Macaca mulatta: one gene and its partners. The protein of the gene in region 2 purifies or fractionates together with the protein of the main gene of each other region. This does not show direct contact. Links are inferred from orthologs where the notes say so. Each region holds a gene or a part of one and is shown on either strand. Other genes may lie near its edges.

The links.
Region 1: the proteins of BAG2 (region 2) and HSF1 purify together in Homo sapiens (affinity purification with mass spectrometry; 3 studies listed by BioGRID and IntAct, with this or other methods). This does not show direct contact. The link is inferred for Macaca mulatta from reciprocal best matches to the Homo sapiens genes BAG2 and HSF1.
Region 3: the proteins of BAG2 (region 2) and RASAL2 purify together in Homo sapiens (affinity purification with mass spectrometry; 3 studies listed by BioGRID and IntAct, with this or other methods). This does not show direct contact. The link is inferred for Macaca mulatta from reciprocal best matches to the Homo sapiens genes BAG2 and RASAL2.
Region 4: the proteins of BAG2 (region 2) and DNAJC13 purify together in Homo sapiens (affinity purification with mass spectrometry; 3 studies listed by BioGRID and IntAct, with this or other methods). This does not show direct contact. The link is inferred for Macaca mulatta from reciprocal best matches to the Homo sapiens genes BAG2 and DNAJC13.
Region 5: the proteins of BAG2 (region 2) and UBAP2 purify together in Homo sapiens (affinity purification with mass spectrometry; 3 studies listed by BioGRID and IntAct, with this or other methods). This does not show direct contact. The link is inferred for Macaca mulatta from reciprocal best matches to the Homo sapiens genes BAG2 and UBAP2.
Region 6: the proteins of BAG2 (region 2) and IRF2BP2 purify together in Homo sapiens (affinity purification with mass spectrometry; 3 studies listed by BioGRID and IntAct, with this or other methods). This does not show direct contact. The link is inferred for Macaca mulatta from reciprocal best matches to the Homo sapiens genes BAG2 and IRF2BP2.
Region 7: the proteins of BAG2 (region 2) and LUZP1 purify together in Homo sapiens (affinity purification with mass spectrometry; 3 studies listed by BioGRID and IntAct, with this or other methods). This does not show direct contact. The link is inferred for Macaca mulatta from reciprocal best matches to the Homo sapiens genes BAG2 and LUZP1.

What each region holds. Positions count from the first base shown.
Region 1 is NC_133413.1:154,684,113-154,688,633, forward strand, and holds the start of HSF1 (heat shock factor protein 1), read left to right. Parts: upstream 1-1,435; 5' UTR 1,436-1,450; coding exon 1,451-1,684; intron 1,685-2,782; exon of another isoform or gene 2,783-4,521. Other genes in the region: ribosome biogenesis protein BOP1, read right to left, coding at 592-690. UniProt on the Homo sapiens protein: Functions as a stress-inducible and DNA-binding transcription factor that plays a central role in the transcriptional activation of the heat shock response (HSR), leading to the expression of a large class of molecular chaperones, heat shock proteins (HSPs), that protect cells from cellular insult damage.
Region 2 is NC_133409.1:125,109,648-125,113,436, reverse strand, and holds part of BAG2 (BAG family molecular chaperone regulator 2), read left to right. Parts: intron 1-2,988; coding exon 2,989-3,098; intron 3,099-3,789. UniProt on the Homo sapiens protein: Co-chaperone for HSP70 and HSC70 chaperone proteins. Acts as a nucleotide-exchange factor (NEF) promoting the release of ADP from the HSP70 and HSC70 proteins thereby triggering client/substrate protein release.
Region 3 is NC_133406.1:35,888,817-35,892,605, forward strand, and holds part of RASAL2 (ras GTPase-activating protein nGAP), read left to right. Parts: coding exon 1-158; intron 159-938; coding exon 939-1,800; intron 1,801-3,789. UniProt on the Homo sapiens protein: Inhibitory regulator of the Ras-cyclic AMP pathway.
Region 4 is NC_133407.1:35,572,772-35,576,560, forward strand, and holds part of DNAJC13 (dnaJ homolog subfamily C member 13), read left to right. Parts: intron 1-912; coding exon 913-1,016; intron 1,017-1,104; coding exon 1,105-1,264; intron 1,265-2,332; coding exon 2,333-2,395; intron 2,396-3,519; coding exon 3,520-3,621; intron 3,622-3,789.
Region 5 is NC_133420.1:65,639,078-65,643,412, forward strand, and holds the start of UBAP2 (ubiquitin-associated protein 2), read left to right. Parts: upstream 1-1,317; 5' UTR 1,318-1,446; exon of another isoform or gene 1,447-3,830; intron 3,831-4,335. UniProt on the Homo sapiens protein: Recruits the ubiquitination machinery to RNA polymerase II for polyubiquitination, removal and degradation, when the transcription-coupled nucleotide excision repair (TC-NER) machinery fails to resolve DNA damage. May promote the degradation of ANXA2.
Region 6 is NC_133406.1:14,468,863-14,473,287, forward strand, and holds the start of IRF2BP2 (interferon regulatory factor 2-binding protein 2), read left to right. Parts: upstream 1-1,398; 5' UTR 1,399-2,090; coding exon 2,091-3,138; intron 3,139-3,735; coding exon 3,736-4,425. UniProt on the Homo sapiens protein: Acts as a transcriptional corepressor in a IRF2-dependent manner; this repression is not mediated by histone deacetylase activities. Represses the NFAT1-dependent transactivation of NFAT-responsive promoters.
Region 7 is NC_133406.1:217,839,225-217,843,505, reverse strand, and holds the start of LUZP1 (leucine zipper protein 1), read right to left. Parts: upstream 2,943-4,281; 5' UTR 2,484-2,942; intron 1-2,483.

The DNA of each region.
Region 1 (4,521 bases), on a different chromosome or scaffold from region 2:
CCCATGGGAACCAGGATTAGTTGAGTTCGCTTCACAAAGCAATGGGGCAGTTTCAACAACCCAACGCGGCCGAGGGGGCTGTGAGAGGCTGGCTGTCCATTCCCTCCACCACCCAATTTGACGATCCCCACAACCAAGACGGGGCTGAGCTGGCAGAGGGCAACAGTGAGTTCTGATACAACAAACGCAGCAGACTCTGGGTTCTATTCAGGTTTTCTTATTCTCACGTCTATCCCATGAGCATAAAAACGTGATTAACTAGCGCATAAGTAGGTTAAGCATTTACTGGGGGCGCAAGCCGAGCCCTTTTACTGGCAGGACGCACAAATGGAACGGCCGGAGAGGCTGCTGCAAGGGGCGCTTATCCCCACTCCCTGCACCCCCGTTTCTTTGCTTCCCGGACGCCGTCCTTCACCCTGCAGTCTGCTCTGCCTAAGACCCCCCGATAGAGGAGCTGCGCCCACGCCCAAGGCCGATTCACTGGGCACGGGCGCCCAGGTGACAGCAGCCGGGCCCACCCGCCCCAGCGCGGCCACGTGCCCGCTGGGCCTTCTAGGGACGCGCCTCGCCGCCCCGCATTGCCGCAGTCACCTCTGGCTCGGGCTCAGGCTCCAGTTCGGGCTCCGACCGCCGCTTCTCCGGCCGCACGCTTGGCGCCGCCGTGCGCCCCGTGCCCCGCGAACCCGCCATGTCCCGCCGCGCGCCGGCCGCGACCCGAACAGCCGCTTCCGGCAGTGACACGGCCGCGTGCGCAGGAGGACGCGCCCCGCCCAGCCCGGCCCCGATTGGCGGGCGGGGGGGGGGCGGGACCAACACGCGCAGGCGCGCGGCGGGGCCGGGGGCCGGGGCGGGGTCGGGGCCTGCGTGCTCGCGCCGGGGGGGGACGCGAGAGGGCGGCAGCGGCGGCGGCAGCGGCGGGAGCGCGCCCGTTGCAAGATGGCGGCGGCCATGCTGGGCCTTGGGGCTGTGTGTGCGCAGCGGGCGGCGGCTCGGCCCGGACGGCTGGCGCGGCAACGGCGTTAGCCCGGCCCTCGGCCCCTCTTCGCGGCCGCTCCCTCCGCCTATTCCCGCCTTGCCCGAGATGGATCTGCCCGTGGGCCCCGGTGCGGCGGGGCCCAGCAACGTCCCGGCCTTCCTGACCAAGCTGTGGACCCTCGTGAGCGACCCGGACACCGACGCGCTCATCTGCTGGAGCCCGGTGAGGGCAGCGCGCGGGCGCGGGGCCCGTGGGGACCGGGAGGGAGCAGGGCCGCGGTGGACGGCGCGGGAGGGCTGCGGGGAGGGGCCCTGCCACACCTCGGCTTACGCGCGGGGAGCCTGCCCTGCCCCCGCCAGGAAGGGCGGCGGGTCCCGAGCCTGCCCAAACGCAGAGCCTTAAGTTGGGAAAGCGGCTGCGAGACCCACACCCGATTGAACCGCTGCCCCAGCGAAGTTTCCCTGGGATGGGAGAATGGGGCGTCCCTTGCATCGGGCTTCTGCTAACTGTTGGGCGGTTGCGGAAGTGTCCGCGCTTAGGGCAAGCACCCGGCTTCGCCAGCGGACGCTGTGCTCCAGAGGACATCGGCGTCCCCGGGGGACGGCCTACGGGGTGCTGGGTCGGCAACTATTCGGAGAAAGTCAGGACTTGGCACGTGAAGCGGAGGGCGTCGCTGTAGTGGAAAAGGAAAGGCAGTGGAAACAGAAAGTAAGACGTCATGAAGCTTCAGGTTAATCTCAAGCCCGTTTCCGAATCCCAAATCTGGGTTTCCCAGGAGGAGTTTTGTTTTTCATTCCTTGTGGGGCGTCTTTACTCGTGTCTTTATCTTCAGTTGCCTGGCAGCAGGCTTGTTTACACGGTCCGACCCTGCAAGACCGGACAGCTCCGGTTTGCAGAAGTAAATCAGTGATTGTCTGGAGTTGGAGATCAAAATCTGCTGTTCACATCCCGGCTGTGACGTCGTGTCCGGTGAGGGGCAGAGCCACAGCCTGTGGCTGGCAAGTGATGGCCTGAAGAAAGGCCACACTGGCCGAGCGGGGTGACTCTTTGCTGTGAAAGCAGCACTTTGGGAGGTGGCGGCGGGTAGATCACTTGAGGCCAGGAGTTCGAGACCAGCCAAGACAATATGGCAAAACCCCGACTCTACTAAAAATACAAAAAATTAGCCGGGCGTGGTGGTGCTTGCCTGTGGTCCTAGCTACTTGGGAGGCTGAGATAGGAGGATCCCCTGAACCTGGGAGGCAGAGGTTGCACTGAACCGAGATTCCACCACTGCACTCCAGCCTGGCAAAGAATGAGACCCTGTCTTAAGAAAAAAAAGAAAAAAGAAAGGCCACTGATCACTGGGAGCTTTTGGAGGGACCGTGACAGGCGGGATGCCACCAAGCATGTGTGGCCTCCCAGGAGCTAAGACCCCAGAGTTCCTCAGGCTCTGCTGAGGGCCTCCCATTTGCACAGCCTCTTTCTGCTGTTAGGAATGAAGAAAAGTCTGAACTGAAGCTGCTCCAGGCAGGAGGCCAGGCCTTCTGCTTCTCGGGTTTACTGAGGCCCTGCTTTACCTACAGAGTGTTTGGGAATAAAGAGAGGACTGGAAATCTTTGCTCTTTTCAGAAACACTTTGTATTTGTCCTGCTGACACCTCTGTCTGTGTCGGCCTTCCCATCCCCAAGTCCCATTACGGCGCAGTGCGCCTTCCTGCAGGCTGACTTCATTTCACCATCTCTTCATTCTAGACCTTGGCATTTTTGTGCAGAGGAAGTATTCCCATGTTTCTGTTTTCTTTTATCCGTCTTTCGTTTTCTTTCTTTCTTTTTTTTTTTTTTTTTTTTTTTTTGAGACGGCTTCTCGCTCTGTCACCCAGGTTGGAGTGCAGTGGTGCGATCTTGTCTCACTACGACCTCCACCTCCCAGGTTCAAGCAATTCTCCTGCCTCAGCCTCCCGAGTAGCCAGGACTACAGATGCACGCCACCACACCTGGCTGATTGTTGTATTTTTAGTAGAGACGGGGTTTCACCACATCAGCCAGCCTGGTCTGGAACTCCTGACCTCAAGTTATCCACCTGCCTTGGCCTCCCTAAGTGCTGGGATTACAGGTGTGAGCCACTGCACCCAGCCCTTCCTTCTTTTTCTTATTCCCCTTAACCCTCAGAAGTACTCTCTTGCCCCATTGGGGGAGGGGCATCTGAGATTATCTGGGATATTCTAAGCTTAATCCTACTAGCATGATCTGTCCTGTCCCATAATCTGCTTGCTGTTTCTGCTTAAAAGATTATGAGGCATGTGGGTTAGGTCCCAGTGTACTCTTTTTTGAGACCGAGGCATGTTCTGGGCAGGGCTTTTGAGCAAGGGAGGCAGATTTGATGAGGCCTGTGGCCAGCCTCCACTCTCCTCACAGGTGCACCACCTGTGGGCCTGTTCTCCCTGGGGAGGGATGGGGAGCCGTGTGGAATGTCAGTGTTTGGTTCCACCTGGTCAGTATAAAGTGGCAATGGTTGGTGCAGGATGTAGCAGTGGGGGCGAGCATGGCAATGAGATAGAAACACTGACTTCAAACTGGAAGGAAGCCCTTCTCCAGACTGTGCAGGGAGCTGCAGAGCTTTCTGGCGCTGGCTGCGTGGCCTGGAGAAAGGAGGTGATCGTCCCATCCTGTGGCTTTGAGAGCACTCACACAAGCCCTGAGGACTCCATGTCGGCAGAGTCCCAACAGGGGACCCTCCCACAAATCTACTGCCCAGGCCCAGCTGGCTCTCGGAGGCCTTGAGAAGGCCCTGGTGCTCTTGCTCTCTGCTGCCTTCTCTGGGACAGTCTCCTGGCTCAAAGTCTTACCACCATTCTGCCAAGAAAAACCCTCCCTGTTTGACACAAGAAGATGAGGCAGAATCACAGGCATGGTGACTAATTCTCCAGGCTGAATAACTTGGGGGAGACTGAGGCCCAGAAACTGGCCAGTGACTTTACTGAGCCTGGCCAGGAATGGGACCAGCTCTGGACAACCATTGCACTTCCCCTCCCTGGCCTGAGATCGGGACTCCCACTGCAGCCACTGGAGGCAGAATGCCGGGTCACTGTCCAGGAGAGCCCATTTGGTGGGGACTATGGCCCCATCCCTGTGGTGTTCGATTTCCCACCCCCCAGACCCTCATTCCCATGAGCACCCCACCCACACAGGCAGAGGCCTTGAGGGGACCCAGCAAGTCGTGGAGGACAGCACAGCCCCATCTGCCTTGGAGAGGAAACGTGTCAGCCACAAGGTTATGATCCCGGGAGATCCACATAGGAGCATGGGCATGGACGTGGGTGGTCCTCCCTCAGCCAGCTTTTTAACAGCTTATCCCAAAGGTGTGCCTGGATCCAGTACCACTGAGACCCAAAGACGGGGTTGGGGGACTGAATACCTGGACTGACAGGCAGCTCCATAGAACTGAGACCCGTGAGACCAGGGACCCGCAGCCTCCCTGCCCCGTGCCCTGGTGCCAGCCCTCAGCCCAGCTTCCTCCTCTGCATGCAGCAGCTCCTCTGTCCACCAGCGGAGGCTCTTCTAGGG
Region 2 (3,789 bases):
CTTACAATTGAATACCAGCCGAAGAAGTGTTGAAAAATTAATCTCTTCTTTCAGCATCTTCTCATTTACCAATCAAATGATTCACCTGTGTCATTTGTCTAAATATTGGAGTCATGGTTTGTGCTTTTAGCATAAATATTTAGTGCCAACTCAGTCTCTTTCCTATGTTCTGGGCCCTAGTTTATCTTTCTGAGAGATTGCTAATGTAAAATGTTTAAGTAAATAGTGAATGGTCCTGGAATAGGGCCTGATACTTGCATTACTGTTACTTTGTAGAATATTGTATTTTGATTGTGTTCTCTAGCCAAATTTGTCACATGAGATTCTTCCCAGTTCTTTGCTTTTAGTGGCTCTTATAAACACAGACTTTGACATATATTTAATATCTTGAAGAATAAAGATATCCTGTGATGTTACAGCCTGTCAGTACTATTTTGGGGTATAACAGGTGGGTAACCGAAGGGGAAAAGGCACGTGTGTGCTTGGGGTAGGGGGAAGATCCTTTTATGGAATTGAACATGCTAAAACATTGGTGAAGTTGTTCTTTCTGTGCACACTTAAGACAGCAGTTAGGATTAGATCTCTCATGAACTTCTAAGACCATCCAAATACTGGGAATAGGTCTGTCACTATTTCATTTTGCAAAAGTTGGCAACTTACTGTAATTCATAATAATAAGGTACCCTGGAAGTATACAACATGTTAAATATACAATATGTATATTTTTATTTTGCTCTCATGATTCCCCAGCTTAGTTTTTTAGTGACTGGGCACAATTATGTGTATGTATAGTGTGAGTGCATGTGTGTGCAGTTGAGTGAAGTGGGGAAAGTAGCGCTTCTATAGTTTGATGAGGGTTTTACACAAAAAAGCCACAGAGACTTTCCCTTAAATTTGGGAAAAGACAAAGATACCCCCATCATTGCCACTGTTTAATACAGTACTGAAGGACCTTTTCTTAAAAAAAAAAAAGTAATAGAAAAGTAATAGGATTGGGAAGGAGGAAATAAAAACTATGGATGATATGGATATGATCATTTACCTAGAAGAACCAACAGAATCAACAGACTGAACACTAAAATGAATACATGTAAATCAAGGTCGCCAGTGACAAGATAAACCTACAAAGACAACACTTCTCAAACCAGTAAAAATCAACTAGAAAATACAAATTCACAAGAGCAACAATATCTACAAAGACTACTATGAAGAATACATGAGAACTCTATAGAAGATCTGAATAAATGAAGAGACATATATCATGCCCTTAAACAGAATGACGTTATAAAGATGTCGAATTTCTCTCATTTTTTGAGAAACACAATAAACGTACCCTAGAATTTATATGGAGAAGTAAAAGTCCATAAATAGTTAAGTTATCTTTAAAGAAGATTGAGGGGCATGTTCTATCAAATATTAAAGTATAGTACAAGGCTAGTGCTATAAACAAACAAAACAAAACTGGGCACTAGTATAAGAACAGTTAAATACACTAATGCATGGGATAGAGATTTTAGAGAGAAACTTAATACGCATTCGCTAGGGGAAAGATGGATTGTTTGGTAAATAATGTTGGGGAAAATGGCTATTTGAAAAAAAACAACATTCTTAACTAACTACATACAAGGGTTGATTCTAGGTGGATTAAAGACATAAGGAAGGTAGAACTATAAAGTTAATAAGAGAAAATATAGGAAAATATGACCAAGGGGTAGGGGGAAGACCTTAGGTCAAAACTTCAAAAGCATAAGCTATAAGGCAAAAAAAAAAAAAAAAAAAAAGATGAATTGGATCACATCAAAATAAGAGTCTCTCTTTAGTGCCAGACATCCCAGACGTGGTTCATATAAGAGAGGATGAGAGATGGCTGCAATGTCTGTAACCAACAAGAATTTCTTGAGTATACAAATCAGCAAGGGGACAGTAACTCCTGTTTAAAAATAGAAAAACAAAATAGGAAAAGTCTATGAATAGGCTAACAAGGATACAAAGAGATGTCTGAAATTATTAGGAAAACGCAGGTTAACCTGACATACTTCTACTACACTGGCAGCAAATAGAAAGTTGGCAAATGCGGAGTGTTGGTAGGGATATGGGGACTCCTGTGCTTTGCTGTGGAGAATGGACAGGTACAGGTATTCTGCAGAATAATCATAGTACTAAGTCAAAAGCGGAGTACACATACCCTTTATCTCAGCAATTCTGTCCTGGTATATGTCCTAAGGAAATCCTCACCAAGATCCAAAGGGGAGATGTATTCATAGAAGTGTTATTTGTAGTAATAAGAAGTTGGTAGACAACCTGAGTGTCCATCTCTGGGAGAGTGGAGAAGGAAAAGCAGGTAGGTATACACATGGAGTATTATAAAATATGTAGCACCAACTGATTAAAAGTACACATAGGGGGCTGGGTGTGATGGCTCACACCTGTAATTCCAGCACTTTGGGAGGCTGCGGTGGGCAGATCACTTGAGGCCAGCAGTTTGAGACCAGCCTGGCCAACATGGCGAAACCCCGTCTCTACTAAAATTACAAAAATTAGCTGGGCCCGGAGGCTGAGGCATGAGAATCAGTTGAACGCAGGAGGTAGAAGTTGCAGTGAGATCGTGCCACTGTGCTCCAGCCTGGGGGACAAAGCAAGACTGTCTCCAAAAAAAAAAAAAAAAGTACACATAGGATCCTGGATGCTAAGTGAAAAAATAAAAACAGAATGAGATATAAATTCAAAATATACAAATAATACAGATCTTGTAAAAACAAATACTATTAATTAGATAAACACTAAATAGAATTGCCTCATGAGCTGGAAGGAAAATAGGAGAAAGGCAAGTGGATAAAAAATAGAAAAATGAAAGAATTTTAAAGCAGAAATGAAGAAGTTTTGAAAAGTTTGGTGATCTTTAAACTTGATTTGGGTTGAATGAGAGATAAAATTAATAGGAAGAACATCCTGCATACAATAACCGTTTTGTTTTCCCAATTTCTATAGGGTTGAAGCTTTGAGAGAAGCAGCAACTGCTGTTGAGCAAGAGAAAGAAATCCTTCTGGAAATGATCCACAGTATCCAAAATAGCCAGGACATGAGGCAGATCAGTGACGGTGAGAGCCATCTCCACAGAAGGGGCTCGTCTTTTACACTCCTTTAAAGAGTTTATGATAAGTGTGGGTCAATTTTTGCTTGACTTTCGGTATGCGTATACTAGGCCACAGCATTTAATGTGAGCCACAGAGAGCAGCTGCAGCTGTCAGTTTATTATAGCAGCCACTTACTCAGAGATTTCTTCCAGCATGCTCTCTACCCCAAGCCATGGCTGGGAGAGATAGGAAAAAGCCTGCAAGCTCAGAAGAGCTGGCCCCAAGCAGTAAGGCCATGTGTTTTATCCCAGGTTCACACTCCTAACTTCAGTTCTTCACAAGTTACTGGACTGCAAGAGATTAAAAAACACAGAGGAAAAAGGGTGAGAATGGAAGCAGAGAAGTAGAGACCAAAAAAAAAAAAAAAAAGATGAATTGAGGTACAACATAAAGAGAGGGACAAAATGCAGAGAAAATGAGGAAACTTGTAGGACCAGTAAAAGGCATGAATGTAAAAATGTGCTGTCATTTTCTTTTTTCTTTTTATGAGATGGAGTTTCACTCGTCACCCAGGCTGGAGTGCAGTGGCACGACCTTGGCTCACTGCAACCTCCGCCTCCCGGGTTCAAGTGATTCTCCTGCCTCAGTCTCCTGAGTAGCTGGGATTATAGGCGCCTGCCACCACACCTGGCTAATTTTTGTATTTTTAGTAAAG
Region 3 (3,789 bases), on a different chromosome or scaffold from region 2:
CCTCTCCCTCGTGTTCTTGCTGATATTACCAAGTCATTGACTAATCCTACGCCAATACAACAGCAACTGAGACGCTTCACTGAACATAACTCCAGTCCAAATGTCAGTGGAAGCCTCTCCTCTGGGCTGCAGAAAATATTTGAAGACCCCACTGACAGGTATGAAAGAGAGGACGTGACCAATATCTCAGAGAAATATAATGTTCAGATTTAGCAGAAGTATATTCAACCTGTTTTTTGAATTTACAAGTTTAAAATTATGAGCAATTGAAGACTCATCTGACCTGAGAGCAGTTCAATTATTTGTCATTATAATGCACAAGATCTGGGATAACTTATTTTCTAGAATGGTAGTATAGAGAGTTATAATATATTCCCCAGCATATTTTTAAAATTTCTGTCTTGCTTAGTGGAAGACCAAAGGCTTTATGAAATTCATGTTTCTATACGTTATAGCATTCAAAAACCATGGAGAACCTCGGTGAAAACCATTTTATAGCTGGCTATGTCAGCTGGACAGGTAGATACAATGTTGATGCTTAGACTGTGTTATGGATTGGCAAGATTTGTGCCTTTAGCAGGGACCTTGCAGTTGTGTACTTAGAACTTCTCTTGAAGGTTTAGATAAGTAAGTATGAATTGGAATATTTCAGGAAGGTTTAAAACCTAACTAGGAAATTATTGGAATCCTGGTTAAAACTGAAGACAGTGATGGGTTGGTATCTACAGTGTTATTCTCTACTTTTGGGGAAAAAGTAAAAATGCTGGATTTTATTCTAACAATTGTAATAATTCCCTAATTATGTAAAATCTGAGTTTCCAAAGAAATGTATGTATCCACATAAGAACCTTCAGAGGAGTTCACATGCCTGAATTGAGGCATCTTAGCCATGTTGAAGTTGTCTCAAGAGAAATTAAGTGTCCTTTCCTTTTCTACAGTGATTTGCATAAACTAAAATCTCCAAGCCAGGACAACACAGACAGCTACTTCAGAGGGAAAACATTATTGCTGGTTCAGCAAGCCTCCTCTCAGAGCATGACTTATTCTGAAAAGGATGAAAGGGAAAGTAGCCTTCCTAATGGTCGGAGCGTCTCCCTCATGGACCTCCAGGACACTCATGCTGCTCAAGTGGAGCATGCATCTGTCATGCTTGATGTGCCTATACGCTTGACCGGAAGCCAGCTTTCCATAACCCAGGTGGCCAGCATCAAACAGCTGCGGGAAACCCAGAGCACTCCCCAAAGTGCACCCCAAGTGAGAAGGCCCCTGCACCCAGCCTTGAACCAGCCAGGTGGCCTTCAGCCCTTGTCATTCCAGAACCCTGTCTATCACCTCAATAACCCAATTCCAGCAATGCCAAAGGCCTCTATAGATTCCAGTTTGGAGAACCTAAGCACTGCCAGTTCCAGAAGCCAAAGTAACAGTGAAGACTTCAAGCTTAGTGGACCCAGCAATAGCAGCATGGAAGATTTCACTAAACGTAGCACTCAGAGTGAGGACTTCTCCAGGCGGCACACTGTGCCAGACAGACACATACCTCTTGCTTTGCCACGACAAAATAGTACTGGGCAGGCCCAGATCCGAAAAGTGGACCAGGGTGGGTTAGGTGCCCGAGCCAAAGCCCCACCATCCCTGCCACATAGTGCTTCCTTACGTAGCACCGGGAGCATGTCAGTGGCGTCCGCAGCCCTGGTGGCCGAACCTGTGCAGAATGGGAGCCGGTCCCGGCAGCAGTCCTCTTCCTCCAGAGAGAGCCCTGTTCCCAAAGTGAGAGCAATCCAGAGACAACAGACACAGCAGGTAGGCACGAGTGCTGAAGGGGCGTGGCTTCTACTTGGTCCATCTGTTTCTTTGGTTCTTTATACGTAAATCATTGGGAAATCCTATTGTTAACAATATTTCCACTTAAAAGCAACCTTTAAATGGAAAGAGGAAAGGAAAATTTGGGGAAGCTTCTGCCTAAGTGAGACTGCAGAATGAAGTTTGACTCATTACCCTTAAAAGTCTAACAAACACGCAGGGGCCCCCTTCTCTTCAAGCAGCAGAGCTACTACCTCAGTTTACACTTAGAACAAATCGGTGATGTTGAATGAATAATTAGATACTTAAAATCTGTAGGCAAAACCAACTATTATTTTGGGAATCTGAAAATTAATCCCTCTTAATTTTTTTTCTTAAGCTTCCAGAATAAAGGTTTGCATTCTGAGCCAAGAGTTTAATGTGACTGCTCTCCATTCCATCCCTCAACTCTCTCTGGAAATACAAAGTCCCATGTGCCTTTTCCTGGAAATGGCTAGAAAAATAAACACTTGAACACATAGAGAGTCAAGGTAAAGGAAAGATTAAAAAGATAGAAGCACAGGGCCGGGCGCGGTGGCTCAAGCCTGTAATCCCAGCACTTTGGGAGGCCGAGACGGGTGGATCACGAGGTCAGGAGATCGAGACCATCCTGGTGAACATGGTGAAACCCCGTCTCTACTAAAAAATACAAAAAACTAGCCGGGCGAGGTGGCGGCGCCTGTAGTCCCAGCTACTCGGGAGGCTGAGGCAGGAGAATGGCGTGAACCCGGAAGGCGGAGCTTGCAGTGAGCTGAGATCCGGCCACTGCAACTCCAGCCCGGGAGACAGAGCGAGACTCCGTCTCAAAAAAAAAAAAAAAAAAAAAAAAAAAGATAGAAGCACAGGTGGAAAAGGAAGTATTCTGAACATTTGCAGATCCCTTACATTTCTATTTACATGGACAAGCCCAGCTAACATCACATCCAATCATAATATAAGATTTTCTGATTTTTTTCTTGACAAATAAAAAGCTTTGCCCAGAAATTAATCATTTCTTCCTTACATATTACATTTTGAAGCATCAATACATATTTTTCCCTTTGAAACAAACTACTGTTAAATATATATATACACATTCATGTAATTTTTCATATATATAACATATATCTTTTTATATCTTTCATCTAAAAAGATTTTTCTCCTGAAAAAGCATTGTGTTAGTTGAATTTTTTTTGAAACCTAATGATAGTACTAGAAAGTTTGAGATTAAAAGAGTTCTATGACAAATCCTTTTATGCAGCAAAATAACTGGGGAGGGAGACTGCAATAAAATCCTAATTTGTATCTGTAATATATTTGCATTTTTACAGTTTAGGCACTTACTGATATGGCTGCGTCTGCCTCCAGTCTGCTATGATCAGAGCCCCTTACACCTACTTTGATTTTTTTAATTGGATTATTTATAGAATCCTTGGATACAGAAATAGAAGAAGGGATGAAAAGCATGACTAACAAACTGTTTCTGGAAGCAGACTTCCTGGGCTAAACCTCCTACTTGGTCATTTTTTACTGAGTAATAAAGTTTTTCTACAGTCTTAAATTTTTCATTTTTATTTTGTTATATTTCCCAAAGATTTGATTTAGTAAGCATTTGTATTTGAAGAAAAGGAAAAATACGTATCTTTTATATGTATCATATGTATTTTTTATACATAAATGTGTGTGTATATATAAACATAAAATGTATGTGTTAGGAGGCTATCAGTCATGCCCACCTTATTGTGAAGTAGTTTCCTCCCATCACTTTTGTGCTAGACTCTAGTTGAGATCAACTACTTTCAGAAAATTAAGGTGTTCATTGGGTGGAGAAAGGAAAAATACATAATTTTAGAAATCAGAATACTGTGTAGAAGCACATATCTACTCAGGGACTTAAAGCAGCACAAGGGCACTGAAGATAAGGTTAGTGAAGGGCATGAGATCTGGCAGAGAGGGACAGGACAGGAAAAG
Region 4 (3,789 bases), on a different chromosome or scaffold from region 2:
AGAATTTTGATCTGAGAATTCCTTTTTATAATTGCCTGAAATCTTTCCTTGAGACACACAACCTGAGTGCAAGCATGGTGGTGCTGGCCCAACTCCTGATGTTTGACTTTGCCCTCATTTATCACCTCAATTTAGTAGAATGGGGTGATTCGACATAGAAGGAATTCTTTACGAAAATGTAAAATGTAGTTGATGTGTTGGTTTTAAGTCTTGGCACATCGCCGGGGGTAGAGCTGCGGGATAGAGGGAAGACCTGAAGTAGTGTATGTGTGTTGAGCAAATTATGTGTGATGCAGGACCATCTACTCCTTGCTTTTTTTTTTTTTTTTTTTTTTTTTTTGAGACGGAGTCTCGCTCTGCCGCCCAGGCTGGAGTGCAGTGGCCGGATCTCAGCTCACTGCAAGCTCCGCCTCCCGGGTTCACACCATTCTCCTGCCTCAGCCTCCCAAGTAGTTGGGACTACAGGCGCCCGCCACCGCGCCCGGCTAGTTTTTTGTATTTTTTAGTAGAGACGGGGTTTCACCGTGTTAGCCAGGATGGTCTCGATCTCCTGACCTCGTGATCCGCCCGTCTCGGCCTCCCAAAGTGCTGGGATTACAGGCTTGAGCCACCGCGCCCGGCCGTACTCCTTGCTTTTTTATGGCAAACCCAGTAGGAAATAAAGCAGATTTTATTCTTCCTTTTTTAATTGACACCACATAGTGCTGTGATGGTTTTTATCAGCAAGTCTGACATTTATAAAATTGGTATGTAATTCTCAGCATTTAGCTAAAATAGTCATGTTAACAATATTGAATTAATAAGTATTGTAAGAAATAAGTTCTGAACAGAAAGAATTATAAGAAACAATTATTAGAAATTGCCAAAATCTATTGTAAACTAAAATAGTGTAATTTGCTTTTGTTTATGAAGGTTAAATATGAGTGCCTGGCAGAGGAAATTAAAATAGGAGACTATTACCTGAGATTACTATTGGAGGAAGATGAGAATGAAGAAAGTGGATCAATTAAGAGATCGTGAGCTACTCTGTATATCCTGTTGCATTTGTACTCACTGTTGGTTTCATGGTTATTTCTATTGTGAACTTTTTTTTTTTAAATCTAGGTATGAATTTTTCAATGAGCTTTATCATCGCTTCTTGCTCACCCCAAAAGTAAACATGAAGTGTTTATGTTTACAAGCCCTTGCTATTGTTTATGGCAGATGTCACGAAGAAATAGGACCTTTTACAGATACCAGATATATCATTGGAATGTTAGAGAGGGTAAGGATATCATTTAAGGAAATTACTATTTGATAGTGTCACTAGGGTATGTGTTAAATTTTAAAACTAAATTTAAATTCTGTTTGATCACATTATTACTGTAACTTTCTGCATTCATTTTTCTGTAATTTATACTTACTTAAATCTGAGTTAGATGAATAGGAAAATGAATAGTGGGTTAGAATTTGTCCATGTCACTTTATGTGTTTCAGTTAGTATTTTCAAATGACTTTAGTTGACCTACTTGTCAGTCTTTAAGTATGGATGAGTTGGACAGGTGTATAAAAGAAATGGTGACTTCTAGAGTTGTATGTACCTTTGATTTTCCATTTTGGAAAAATCTTAATTGATGCTAGCATACTAAATTTAGAAGTGTGAAGATAGCAAAAACCTTTTAAAACTACAATGCTAAGCCTCCAAAAAAGAAACCTTGAGTTAGCACTTTACAAAGAATTTTATACAGTTTGTCAAATAAAAAAATTAGTGGACATGGTGGCATGTATCTGGTGGTTCACCGGGAAGTGGGAGGATCACTGGAACCCGGGAGGTTGAGGCTGCAGTGAGCTGTGATCACACTCCATCCTGGATGACAGAGCAGGACCTTGTCTCAAAAAAAATTTTTTTTTAAGAATTTGTGATTTAACACTTGAACATGGTGAAGGGGACAAATTAATTAATCATGCAGCTTATTTGATTGCTACCTGTTTGTTGCAGTGTATGTTTTATACTTTCTTTTGTGTTTACATTCCTTTTACTTAAAGTATCATTTGGACCAATTTTTTCACTTACTTCAATTTTTACATATGTCCTTAAAGCTATATATTAATCTGTTTGATGACTTTACAATGTCTGCCTTTCTAGGGAAATTAGACAAGTTATATAAAGTTGTAAAGAATGTAATTTTCAGGATTCATTAAGGAATTGCAATAATTGACAGATTTCTATGATTTTTCTCTTTAATGTTTAAAAGATGGCATTACTTATGGGCTGTTGATTTTGTCTAGTAATAGTAATAGCTTAATTTTTATTTCTATTCAGTTCTGACCAGATTCTCATTTATTTCAATAGTGCACAGATAAACTTGAACGAGATAGGTTGATTCTCTTCCTTAACAAGTTGATCCTTAATAAGGTACAGTAGTTTCGCATACATACATTGTTATTTCCAAGTCATATAAGTAATGTAAGATAAACTCACAGTTTGAGTTGATTATCCAGGGAGTGTTCTTTTCTGTCTTCTCCTTTTTAGGCAGAAAGTTCTGTGTGCTCTAACCTCCTGGAGGGAAAGGTTTTTGTCAGTATTCCCTGTATAGTCTGTCTTAATATTATAGGTGCAGAATGAATGAATGATAATAAAATTCTGAATGAGGAACAATGGATGACTTTTAATACATTAAAATGATCTTTAATAATAGAAATTATTAGCTTATTTTTCTTTAGGGACTTTCTAGGGTTAAATTTTAAGTAAAATATATGCTTGACATAAAATGGAAAGTCTTTATCAGTATACATTTTGCAGATAAAAAGTAATTGGAAGTTACAAGATTAGTCATTTTACTGTTTTCTTTTTGAAGACATTTTAATAGGTTCATGCTTATTTCGAACAAGAGGAATTCATAGTTGTAATATATAAAATTAATTCACAGTTTATGTTGAAGCATAAGCAGATTTTCATTTCTTAAAACTTTGATACTAATACCAATTTGTGTAGTTTTATTCTTGTAGTAAGTAATGCAAATGTTTTAAACTGAAGTGTAATTATACGTACAAAGATTTTAATTGAAATTATAGTCTCTTCTAAGAAGTTACCAGTTATTTTAAGTTTAAGAAAACAAACTGGAACATTAAAGGATTTTTAATATAGCAGACTTTATTTCTGATATAGAATAATCTGTTTATTAAAAAGACCTTGGCAGAATAATTGTAAAACCAGAGTTTATCATGACAGTCTTCAATTTGTTTACTCTTATTTTTGTGGGTTGTTTTTTCTTCAGAACATATTTAAGTAAAAATTCTTAAGTGATCTCTTTGTAATATAATTTTGCCCTTTTAATCAATTGGAATTCAGGTTCCTTGAACACAAAATGCTGAAAAGACCAAGTAATACCAGTTGTATCAATTATTTCCAAAGATTCCAAACATTCTCCTCTTCGAGGACCTTGTAGGTGGTAGTACCTATTGGGAAAGGTACTGTTGGGAAAGGTTTTAGATTGTGAGAAATGTTTAGATTACAAAAAAAATGTTTTCTTCTTCCAGAAAAATGTTAAGGATCTCATGGATTCAAATGGAATAAGAATCCTTGTGGACTTGCTTACCCTTGCACATCTCCATGTAAGCCGAGCTACAGTACCACTGCAAGTACGTATCCTTGTTTAGGTTTTACAAACTTAACATTCTTTGAGTATAATTTTGGAGTCAAAAGAATCATAGAAATCTGAAAATATATGATCAATCACATATTTCTCCAGTAATTACAGAGGACTAGTTCTCGGAGATTTCACACAGAAAATGTGAAACCACTGTAAG
Region 5 (4,335 bases), on a different chromosome or scaffold from region 2:
GCATGCCAGGACTGCAAAGTCCTTATATGTAACCAGCTTGGGATAAAACAGGCCAGTAAGTAGACCTTGAGAGCTTGTTTGGAGGACCTTGAGAGCTTGTTAACAGGGGCGTGCAGCTACTCCTATATCCTTGACCTGTCCTCCTCTATGGGGGATGCTCCTCCTTTTCGACCGAGTATGCAGCCTCGGGAGCGGTGCGGGAGGAAGGGCCACCCGCCTAGCCAGCCAGATCAGCGGAATCAGCCCTGGCAATCAATGGGGTGACAGATATCGCAGCCAGATCGCCCTCATATCCAAACAGGCCAGTAAATGGAAAATACTTTTAAAACACTATGCTACAATTATAAACCATCATCTTATTTATATGTAATTTTTGGAGTTGACAACAGGTCAGATCCTATTGAGAGGAGGTCTTTAATTTTCTAAGGCAGAAAACCTGGGTTTCTTCGGTCAACAAGCAACTCTAAGCTTCTTTTTTTATCCTTAAATATGGGAAATCCTGGACTCAAGGGGTTGATTATATGATATAACAGAAATGATTGTATAAACGGCGGACTTCGAGTAGGCGTTCAATAGATGCTAGTCTTTTCACTCAGAAGGGGCTTGGGAGGGCAAAAGTACAACCTCACCGAACAAGACGAAAAGTGGGCGGACCTTCCGCCTTGCCGAGGCTCTCGCTGCGAGCCGTTGGCGTTTTCCCGCGCAGGGGGCAGGGCGCAGAGCGAGCCCAGGAACGTGGGAGCAGAACCACACCCCCCGCCAGGACTACACCTCCCAGCAGGCACCACGCTCCGCCACCTGGCGGGCGGCGTCCAGTAGTATTACTTCTTCAAGCCAGCTTAGTCCGCTTTCCGCCCGGCCTTCCCTCGGCACTAAGGTCTCTAGGGGGTGCGTCTGGGAGCCCGCGGGAGAAAGGCTGAGGTAGGGGTCGCCTTGGCTGTGCAGCATGTTGGGACTCGTGGTCCCCTCGTGCAACGTTTGGGAGGCCAGGCTTGCCCTGAGTGGCTGAACCACATCACGTGATGAGAGAGGCGGCCACAGGGGAGCAACCTGTGGTGCCTTGTGAGGTCATCATGGCGCGACGACGAGCTGCAGTTGTAGGCACCCTGGATGCGGTGGGTAATCCTCTCCTGATGACTCCGAGTACAATACATATTATCAAGTCTCCCTTATTTTTTTTTTTTCTGTGGTTTCCCCCACCACCTCCACGCGGTCGGCCTCGCGGGGTTGGGGTGAAGGTGGCAGCTAGAAGAGGCTGCGCGCCGTCTGGGCGGGCTCTGAAGCCGCGCACGAGCGACGTGTTGTGGCTCCTCCTTCGCTCGTGACGCGAGGTCACGTGACGGGTTGGGCAGCCTGTGCCGCCGCCGCCGCTTTGTAAGAGGCACATTGGCAGGTAACGAGCGGCGGCGGCGGCAGCGGGTCTTGAGTCCTCCGAGAGCAGCAGCGGTAATTGCCATCCTGTCCCTTTCCTTCCCTGTTCCAGGGGCCTGAGCGCTGCAGCGTGCGCTTTCTAGTTCTGGGTTCAGCTCGTCTGAACCCCCACCGCCTGCAGACTGCCCCGGCGCCCATCCGTGAGGACCGGGCCAAGCTTCACTCGCCAGCTCCACGGTCCCTGTGTGTCCAGGCCCGGGCGCCCTACTGCCTCTTCCCCTCACTTTGCCTTGTGCTTCTTCCTACTTTCCCCCGTCCGGGTCGGCCGGGCCCCACCCAACCCCAGGGGCGCCTCCCCTCCCCCCTTCGGGTTTCTGCCCTGGAGGGTGTGGTTTTCTCTCCCACCTCGGTGCCTGCCAGTAGATGGGAGCTTCCCCGCCACGCTGTCGGTCCCATCTGATCACCTTTCCGCTTTCACGCCCGTAGCTAGTCTTGGGACTGGCCCTTTTAGAACCCCAACTTCTGCGCTCTCTAATCTTTCCTGGCTTACCCGGAGGCACAGTTCAATTCTACTTCTCCTTTTCAATTGGTCTCAATTGGGACTCAGTTTTCCTCCTCACCCCCGGTTCCTGTAGTCTGGTTATATCACAGTTCATTCTTTAGTGTAGGTTTTTGAGCGCTTTGTAAACCGCAAAGCTCAGTCTGTTAATAATACATATTCAAAATGTTATTCTTTCATTGGTGCATTACAACTCAGTTCTGTTTCCCTCTGAATCACTTTCCCACTCGGCTTTTCCACATTTTCCCCGAGTTTTTAGTCTAATTAGTTGCCCACGCTTCTCAACTGTCACCACTCTGGTCTCTAACCCTTGCTCGCTTTAAGGGTTGATCCCATCATTATTACTGTTATTTCCTGTTTGATGTAATCCAGTCATTTACTACCACTTCTGTTGAATATTGTTTTTATCTCACATTCAAGGAAGGTATATGGTTTGCCAGTATTTAGGCTTATAATCTTTCTACAGCACCAGCGTATCCTAACAGTTGAGAGATTTTAAAAAATTGCTATTCATTTTAGAGATATGGTCTCCATCTATTGCCCAGGCTGGCCTCCCGCTCCTGGGCTTCAGCGATTCTTGCACCTCAGCCTCCTGAGTAGCTGGGGTTACAGGTGTGCCCCACGGTGCCCAGCTAGTTGAGGGTTTTTTCACGTCTCCATAAGGTATCCAAAGATCATCTTTTATTTGAAGGGCATATAATTAATTTCTTGGGTGAAAACCCATTCTTATATTCCTCTCCTGTTATGACAGCACTTTTTTCACCAAGGGGTATGCGGCTAGTTATTGCATTCCTCACTTTTCGCTGTGAATTGTGTATCCTTTTTAGTGTCAGTTTGGGAAGGGTGGAAGGAAGATGAACATGATACCTGAACTGTCCCGTATGCGACATTGGTGTGTTCCCCTTTTACCTCAGGAAAGGGAATGTATTCCACTCCCTGGAGATGATAGTTTCTTTCAGTACACTCACCTGTGGAGCCCCTTCGCTGGGGCCGACCTTTTACTGCTTTGAAGGCTTCTCTTATCATTAGGCAGAAGTGATTAGTTTCCCAAACTGCCCTTTTGCTGGCTGCCAGTGTACTCCTGATTTTCCTACTTATGGCTAGTTGACATATGTGGCGAGAGATTTTCCCACAGCGCCGACTTCCCCCATTTGCTTCCCTGTTGCCGCTCACCCTCAATAATTATGAAACCTTTCAGAGAAGGAAGGTTTTTTGTTGTGATTGAAATATGCCCAAAAGCGGTGGCATGGGAGAGAATGAGGCCATGGGAAAGGGTTGTGGTAATTACCCCTCCTGTTTCCTGCTGCTCTGGTTTCCTCTGTCCTCCCTTTAAATGTGGGCTGGACCAGCAGTAGTCACATGGAGTTGCCTCTAGAACTATATTGGAACAACAATAACACCTCTGCTTCCCTTTCCTGGTTACTAGTGCAGTCTATGTAGTGATCACCAGGAGTGTCTCTCTTAGTATTAGACTGAGTGACTTTTATTGTATGGGGAGAAATGGTGTGAGAACATGGAGAATAATAGGTTTATTTCAATATGTACTTGTATCGTGATGGGAATTGGTCCCTGTATCTACCCTCTTAAGTGTAAAATATATGTAGAAAGTGTAAAGCTCTCTTGAAGGTTTGGAGTGGTCTGAAGTGAAGCCTTTACGTCTAAAATGTTAGCTTTGAATTAATTGTTGATTTCCCAGTCCTTTTTTTTTTTTTTTAAATGATGTCTTACTGTTAAGATTTCCTTTGTTAATAAGACACTTTGTGGGGGTGGGGGTGGTTAAGTATATTATGAAGGGTTAATGCCTGCTGGGAAGAAGCAGTCTGCAGGCATTTACAGATTGTAAAGTTCTCTGCCCTTAAGCAAACCTGTCTTATTTTGTTTATTTTTCCTTGCGAGAAACCTGTATGTCAGCAAATATCTGTTCTTTCTTAGTTATCATTTTGAGCAAATAGAGCGTCCTTAAAAGCTAAGTGTTATGGTACCCATGGTGTTGACTGGTAAATTAGTAGATCTCTGATAGATTTTAGAAGCAGCTATTTTTTACAAAAAGGAGAGTGGAGATACAACCTGAAGGAAGGCAAAGAGAGTGAGGACATGTAGGGAATATCACCATGTAATCTTTGTGGTAGATTTTGATGTAATTTTGCCCAAACTATCAAGTATTTAGGAATATGATCCTTTTTTTCCTAACTCAATCAAATGTATCACATTAGTTTTTACAATTTTAATGTTAAACCGCTTATGCTGGTGTTTCCTACTGAGTTTACTTGACTTTTTTTAGTTTCTCTCAAAGATGCTGCTTAAAATTTTTTTTTGTGGCTGGGCGCAGTGGCTCATACCTGTAATCCCAGCACTTTGGGCGCCGAGTCGGGCGGGTCACGAGGCTGGGAGTTGAGACTAACCTA
Region 6 (4,425 bases), on a different chromosome or scaffold from region 2:
CAGCTCATTCCAGTCTCAAGGGAGAGTTGTGGGCCTGTGTTCCCAACAAAAGCAGCCCCAGAGGCCGCCCTTAAAGAGCTGAAGTGTAAAAGTCCCAATTGAAGAGCGACTAAGCCTACGTGTATTAGGGAGACTAACGACCAGCCCAAAGTGATTTACCATAACACACACCAGCTCCTCCTCCCGATAAAAGTGCGAAACTCAAGCATTCAATTCAGTCTGGGCTGAGTCTGAGGCTGCCAACGGTGGCAGAGCTGAAGGCCGCGCGGCTGGGCTGGGCTTACCCCAGCCTGGGTGGCATATAGGGCGCAAGTCTGCCCCCATCGGCGGCCCGCCCTGCGCGACGGCGAGCCAGCCAGCCGGTCGCCCCCACGGCCAGCGGGGACCCCGCGGAGGCGAGCAGGACTTCCCCCCACGACTCGCGCCCGCGCCTCCCGCCACCTCGAGTCCAAGTTCGGGCCCGGGGCGGCGCCTGGACGCCCAGACTCGCCGAAGGGGGTGGGGCCTGCGCTGTGACGCGGTCGCGCTGGCCGTACACCCCGGATCCCTGGAATGTGCATTCGTTCCACGAGGCCCTAGTGCCAGCGGCGCCGAGGCACGTCTGCGCGGAGCGTGCGCACACGCGGCGGCGGCCGCCCACGGTCCCGAGTCCACGTCACGCGCCCGCCGCGCAGACCTACATAAGGCGGCCGGGGCAACTGGCGCGGCGAGGCCCTAGCTGAACAGGGCGGGCTGGACGGGGCTAAGAGCAGCACTTGGTGTTCGCGAGCTGCTAATCCGAACCGCGCTCCCTCCCCTCCAGAGGGCTCCGTGGAAAACGCGCGAGCCAGCTGGCGGCGTGTGCACGTGGTGCTGGGCTTGGGAACATCCAGATTCTCCCTAGTTAGTAAAAGGGGCAGGCGGCGGGTATGTCCTTCCCAAGACAAATGCAAATGCAAAGCACCAGTGACGGATTTCATGCTCTTGTGTCCGACATTGAGCTTTCAAGTATAACTCCTAAAAAACCAGAACTGTGAACCACGCTAGACCTAAAATCCCCATTCTCAGGAGACTGACGGAAACCAAGTGACAAAGTGGCCTTGCATAAAAGAAAAAGAAATGGCTTTTAGCACGATTTGGTCCAGAGGCACACCAGGGGAAAACATCCTGAGGGTGGTCGAGACAGCCGGGTGGGGCGTGAAGTGAGGGAAAGTGGAGGAAAAGCACACGACCACTTTGCGCCGTGTTCCGAGGGGACACCAGCGCTGCGCTGCCGCGCTGCCCCGCGAGCGGGCGGGCGCCACAGAGCCGGCTCTCCCGACAGCGCTCCTTCGGCGCGCAGGGGGGAGGGGAGCGCGCGCGCGGGAGGGCGGGCACGCGCCCGAGGGGAGGGGGCCCGCGCAGGCGCTGTGCGAGACTGTCGAAGAATCAAGTCTGTAGAAGTGGAGCGGCCGCGGCGGCAGCAGCAGCAGCGACGGTGGCGGCGGCAGAGCTGAGGCGGGCTGGCCGCTGACGCTGGCGCTGGAGAGCGGCGACGCCAGGAGCTGTGAGAGAGCGGCGGAGCGACCCGGGGCCTGCGCCGCACCCGAGCTCCACGCCGCCCAGCCGCCGCCGCCCCGGCGCGGCATGCCCCGCCGCTCGGGCTGAGCCTGCCCCGGCGGCCGCCCCCCGCCCCCTGCCCCCCCGGCCTCCCCGCCCCCCGCCCCGCACACTGTGCCGGCCGCCGCCGCGACCTGCTGCGCTCCCCCGCGCCCGCGCGGCCCGTCTTCGCCCCGGTCTGGAGGCCCGCCGCGGCTCCAGCCGAGCCCCCGCCGCCGCGCCCGCCGCACCGCCGCACCGCGCCGCCCGCCCGCGCCCGCGCCGGCCGGGGGGAACTGCTGCCGCGGCTGCAGCCCCTCGCCTCGCGCCCGCCGCCCCTCGTGCACCGGGGGCGCTGCGCGGGCGCCGAGCCTTCGCGGGCTTTGCCGCCGCCGCCGCCGCCTTTGCGGCCGCCGCCGCCGCTGGTGGGGGAGACGCGGGGTTGGGGGGGGAGGAGGGCGCGCGTGGTGCCGGTGGGGGGCGGCGGCGGCGCCCCCTCCTCCTCCTCCTCCGGCGCCGCGGGCTCCTCGGACATGGCCGCGGCGGTGGCGGTGGCGGCCGCGTCCCGGCGGCAGTCGTGCTACCTGTGTGATCTGCCCCGCATGCCCTGGGCCATGATCTGGGACTTCACCGAACCTGTGTGCCGCGGCTGCGTCAACTACGAGGGCGCCGACCGCGTCGAGTTCGTCATCGAGACAGCGCGGCAGCTCAAGCGGGCGCACGGCTGCTTCCCGGAGGGTCGCTCCCCGCCCGGCGCCGCGGCCCCGGCCGCCGCCAAGCCGCCGCCGCTCTCGGCCAAGGACATCCTCTTGCAGCAGCAGCAGCAGCTCGGCCACGGCGGCCCCGAGGCGGCCCCGCGCGCGCCGCAGGCCCTGGAGCGCTACCCCCTGGCGGCCGCGGCCGAGCGGCCCCCGCGCCTCGGCTCTGACTTCGGCGGCAGTCGTCCGGCCGCGAGCCTGGCCCAGCCGCCGACGCCGCAGCCGCCGCCCGTGAACGGCATCTTGGTGCCCAACGGCTTCTCCAAGCTAGAGGAGCCTCCCGAGTTGAATCGCCAGAGCCCGAACCCGCGGCGCGGCCACGCGGTGCCGCCCACCCTGGTGCCGCTCATGAACGGCTCGGCCACGCCGCTGCCCACCGCGCTCGGCCTCGGCGGCCGCGCTGCCGCCTCCTTAGCCGCGGTGTCCGGAACCGCGGCCGCCAGCCTGGGCTCCGCGCAGCCCACCGACCTGGGCGCCCACAAGCGGCCGGCATCCGTGTCGAGCAGCGCGGCCGTGGAGCACGAGCAGCGCGAGGCAGCAGCCAAGGAGAAGCAACCGCCGCCGCCTGCGCACCGGGGCCCGGCGGACAGCCTGTCCACCGCGGCCGGGGCCGCCGAGCTGAGCGCGGAAGGTGCGGGCAAGAGCCGCGGGTCTGGAGAGCAGGACTGGGTCAACAGGCCCAAGACCGTGCGCGACACGCTGCTGGCGCTGCACCAGCACGGCCACTCGGGGCCCTTCGAGAGCAAGTTTAAGAAGGAGCCGGCCCTGACTGCAGGCAGGTTGTTGGGTTTCGAGGCCAACGGGGCCAACGGGTCTAAAGCAGGTAGGGGCGGCTGTGAAGTGAGGGGTTCTAGGGGAGAAAAGGGGACGGAGAGCAGAGGAGGGGTGGTTCTTTCGATTCACCATTTTACCCCAGCTCAGAAACAACAAATACCCCACTTCCTGATCTGCCTGAGGCGGAACCAGTGCTTAGTGGCAACGTGTTCATGTGCTGAAGCAGCATAACAGAGATGAGTCAGACTGGGCTGATACGCTCTGACACGGGGTTTTCCTTTCCCAGCACATTCTTGGATGGGAGCATGAGGGCACTAGTCACCTTTTAACCTATTGCGGGACATTAGCAGTCACATGCCCAGTGCAAACTAGGGTACTTTTGTGCATGTGTAAAAACAGGCAGTTACAAGCCTGCCATTTTCAGTGGCTCCGTTTTATTTTCAGTCTACTGCCTCAGAACCCCACACGCCTAAATGTTTCAAGTTGCGTGTATGTGCACCTGAAACTCGTAGGAGGGTTTTCCGTCTGTGCTTTTAGAGAGGAGGAATTCTGTAACGAGTTTTGTTTCGGGTTAGGAAGGGAAGGATCCCTTCCAGTGCACCGCCATTTATGTTTCCTTTTTCCTTTTATTTCTTTGTGTTTCCAGTTGCAAGAACAGCAAGGAAAAGGAAGCCCTCTCCAGAACCAGAAGGTGAAGTCGGGCCCCCTAAGATCAATGGAGAGGCCCAGCCGTGGCTGTCCACATCCACAGAAGGGCTCAAGATCCCCATGACTCCTACATCCTCTTTTGTGTCTCCGCCACCACCCACTGCCTCACCTCATTCCAACCGGACCACACCGCCTGAAGCGGCCCAGAATGGCCAGTCCCCCATGGCAGCCCTGATCTTAGTAGCAGACAATGCAGGGGGCAGTCATGCCTCAAAAGATGCCAACCAGGTTCACTCCACTACCAGGAGGAATAGCAACAGTCCGCCCTCTCCGTCCTCTATGAACCAAAGAAGGCTGGGCCCCAGAGAGGTGGGGGGCCAGGGAGCAGGCAACACAGGAGGACTGGAGCCAGTGCACCCTGCCAGCCTCCCGGACTCCTCTCTGGCAGCCAGTGCCCCGCTGTGCTGCACCCTCTGCCACGAGCGGCTGGAGGACACCCATTTTGTGCAGTGCCCGTCCGTCCCTTCGCACAAGTTCTGCTTCCCTTGCTCCAGACAAAGCATCAAACAGCAGGGAGCTAGTGGAGAGGTCTATTGTCCCAGTGGGGAAAAATGCCCTCTTGTGGGCTCCAATGTCCCCTGGGCCTTTATGCAAGGGGAAATTGCAACCATCCTTGCTGGAGATGTGA
Region 7 (4,281 bases), on a different chromosome or scaffold from region 2:
CATATACTATCTCTTAAAGGTTATAGGGGGTCATTATTGCTGCTATCTTGCAGACTGGGAACAAGGCTCAGACAGGTAAAGTCACTTACTGGTCACACATCTAGTAGGATCTAAACCAAGACATGTGCAACATCAAAGCCCAAGTCCAGGAGGAAATGGGCTATATTCCAAAGCAAATAAGCTATGCACTCAGGCAGCCATTATTGGTTGGGTGGCTTTGGGCAAGTCATTGAACTCTTCTCTGCAGTAGTTTTGCCACCTCTGCAGAATAAGTGTATACCCAGCTATTGCATGTAAGCTAAGTGCTTTGTAAATCGTAACACATAATACAAAGGAAAGGCATCTCAGCTCTTCAGGGACTAGGTCTCACTCATCTTTGGATCTTTTGGTGCTTTCCCTGCTAGTGTTTGCCTCGATTAGTGTTCATCCCCCATTAGCGCATTTAGGACGGTTTTCCTCGTTTGCATCTTATTTCCCCCTCCAGCCTGGGACTTCCTCAACAGCAGGAATGATGCTTATTAATTTCTGATCCCTTTCTGCCCCTAGTACAGTGTCCGGCCTGCATCCCTCCATTCCTTTGCACTTTTATTTATTTCATAAGAAATGGCGGAGTGCCTAACAGGTGCCAGGCACTACACAGACTGTAATACAGCAAAAGTCCCAAGTTTCCTGGACTGGAGGAGTGGAGAAACAGGATAACATTAAATACAGTTACTTAATAACAATTCCATTAAGTGCTCCAAAGAATCAGGTGAGATGCCAGAAGGGATTGGGGGATGCGGGTGGGGACCTAACTCAATTGAGGAGCCAGAGAAGGCTTCCTAGAGGAGGTGGCCTGGAGGCTCAGAGAGGGTAAGGAACATGCTCAAGGTCACACAGCTGGTAAGTGGGAAATTGGGATTTTAACCCAGGAATGCCTGAGTCCAAAGCCCACACTCTACTAGAAAACACTGTCTTTTATTTCCTCCACTTTTTACTTCCTTGACTTTTTTTTTTTTTAGATGCAGTCTTGCTCTATCGCCCAGGCTGGAGTGCAGTGGTGTGATCTCGGCTCACTGCAACCTCCACCTCCTGGGTTCCAGTGATTTTCGTACCTCAGCCTCCCGAGCAGCCGGGATTATAGGCGTGTGCCACTCCACCCAGTTAATTTTTATATTTTTAGTGGAGATGGGGTTTCACCATGTTGGCCAGGCTGGTCTCAAACTCCTGACCTCAAACGATCTGCCCATCTCAGCCTCCCCAAAAGTGCTGGAATTACAGGCGTGAGCCACCACGGCCCGGCCCCCTACTTCCTTGACTTTTATTTTTGAGAAAGGAGTAAGGCCTGTTCAAATGAATGCACTAAAGCAGTATTTTTTCCCAGCTTTTGGGGATCACAGATTCTTTTGAGAATCTGGTGAAATCCGTGAAACCTCTCTCCAGAATTCCACCTATACAGACAGACCCACAAAATCTTGCATACAATTTCAGGGAGTTCATAGCTGTCCTGAGGCCCAGGTTTAGAACTCATTCCATGGAGGACCACCAGACCTTATAGTAAAATTGTCAGAACCGCAGAAAGAGACACCAGGACCCCATAAAGAGCTCAAATCCCCAGAGAGATCTCAAGATCCTATAGAAAGAGTCTCAAGATCCAGTAGAAAGATCTGGGATCCTGTAGAGGCCCCCAAGTTGCTACAGAGTAACAGCTGGGGCTTTGCAGAAATATTCTCAAGAGGTTATAGACATAGAGGAACCTCAACCTCTCATGAAGCTGGAGTCCTCATAGCGGGCTTGGAGAGCTATAATTTTGGGGATTTTTCGATTTTTGAGACAATGTCTGACCTCTGTCGCCCAGGCTGCAATGCAATGACACAATCACCCCTCACCACAGCCTCAAACTCCTGGGCTCAAGCAATCCTCCTGTCTCAGCCTCCAAAGTAGCTGGGACCAGAAGCATGTGCCACCATGTCCAGCTAATTTTTAAATTTTCTGTAAGGATGAGGGGTCTCACTATGTTTCCCAGGCTGGTCTCGAACTCCTGGAATCAAGAGATCCTCCCACCTCGAGCTCCCAAAGCGGTGGGATTACAGGCGTGAGTCACCATACCCTGCGGAGAGCTATAATTCTTGACCCTTGTTGGATCACTGACACCTTTGGAACTTCGAAGAAAAATGCAACACACACAACATGTTACACAAGGAGTTCACAGACCTCTGAGAGGCCATCGGTAGCCCCTGGGTACAGAACTCCGGTTCTTGAGGTGCTGCAAGAATGTAACCCCCGCCCTCCAAACACCTCAAAAACCTGGAGCAGAACCACAGACGCGAGGCACAAACTTTAGGGTGAAACAGACCCCGAGTCGCATCCCGGCCCTGCCGTTTACCAGCCATGACCTTGAACACTCACCTAGAAACCCTCAGGCCTCAGCATCTCACCACCCAAAAGAGAGGGCTGGACGCCCTTCCCTCCCCACCCCGGCCCCCACGGCGTGCGCTCCGTACCCGGTGGGGCGCTGACGCTTGACAGGACTCAGCCTCTCCCCTCCTGCGCCAGTGAGCCATGAATCCGGCTGCAGCACTTCGTGAAATACAAATGGGCCGACTGCACCAGGCGTGCGGGAGGCGGGGGAGGGGGCCGGCGCGTTCGCCGTTTGCCGCAGTGACAGCTCCGCGCAGCCGGCCGGCCGCGGGTCTGGGAAGCCGCCGGTGCCGGGCGCGCTCTCGCCTTTCCCACCCACCAGGCAGGGCGTTCCCGCCAGCCGGCTTCCTGCAGCCGAGGGCCGGGGAGGAGGGACGGCGCTGAGGGGCCGCAGGGCCTGGCAGGCCTGGTTCCTGGCTTTCTCTCCGCGTTTCCTGAGCAGGACCGGCCGGGGGATGGGACCCAGAGCAAACCTCCTTCCCCAGGAGCGCAGCCAGGAAATCGCGTCCTTATTAATCAGGTTCCTCCTCTGCGCGCCGAACGGGGCTGGTTTCCGTCCGCGATCGAGTGGGCATGGTGCGACCCACTTATCCCAGAAGGAAGCGGAGAGACGAAATGGCAGCTCCCGACCCCACGACACAGCAAGATTCCAACCCCGTGATGTCAGTGTTAACTCCATCCTACGGATGAGAAAGCTGAGGCTTTGAAAAATGAAGTGACTTATCCAAGGTCGTCATAAAAATATTACTACTAATAAAATAACGTGCTTACTACATACCAGCCACTGTGCTCCAGGTATATTTCGTCACTGGGTTCTTTAATCTATGAAGATAACTGTTGTTCCTAGTTCATAAATGAGGAAACAGAACCAGAGGCCAAGTGGCAGCTCCAGTGACGCACAGCTACGAAATAACAGAGCTAGGAATTAAACTCCAGCCTCCTGTTTCCAGAGCTCAGCCTTTCTCCATCCTGCTTCTGCGTTTCAGTTGAGTAACCATGACCTTGTCTCATGTGTTTCTGGGTCCTCAGAGCCTTACCGAGAACTTGACACAAAGTAAGTGCTCAGAGGTGATTAAGGGAACCTTACATGGAAGTTCACACTTAGAAGGACTGATAGGAGGCATCTGTCCACGTGACCCCTTCTAGCGCCTTCCGCCAAGTGAAAATGTAGCCTCTCCTGAATACTCGCTATCATGATAAACTCTCCCCCTCCCCACACCCCATCCCATTCCCTTGTTGGACAAATACATTTGGTTTAAATGTAAATGCTCCCCCCCTTTTTTTTTTTTGAGACGGAGTTTCGCCTTGTAGCCCAGGCTGGAGTGCAGTGGCACAATCTTGGCTCACTGCAACCTCCACCTCCTGGGTTCAAGCGATTCTCCTGCCTCAGCCTCCCAAGTAACTGGGATTACAGGCGTGTGCCACCACACCCAACTAATTTTGTATTTTTAGTAGAGACAGGATTTCATTGGTTGATAAGGCTGGTCTCGAACTCCTGACCTCAGGTGATCCACCCACCTCGGCCTCCAAAAGTGCTGGGATTACAGGTGCGAGCTACTGTGCCCGGCCTTAAATGCTCCTTTTTTTTTTTTTGTCCATGGTTTCTTGTAAACAAGGCCAGGCCATTTTCCTCCCTGTGGCCACATTACATATTGCATGGTATTCTTAGCCATTCTATAAGGTTAGACCGTTCAATAATTTTAAGTTCCTCATAAACTGGGACAAGGTCAGCTGTTCATCAAAGCTGTTCCCCTTCCAAATGTAGAGTTGTTTCTGAGAAAAGCAGCCAGACTACATTTTCCAGCACTCCTTGCTATTAGGAACATAACTAGTGTTCACCAGTGGGATATGGGCAGAGAACATGAATGCCATGTCCTGGCC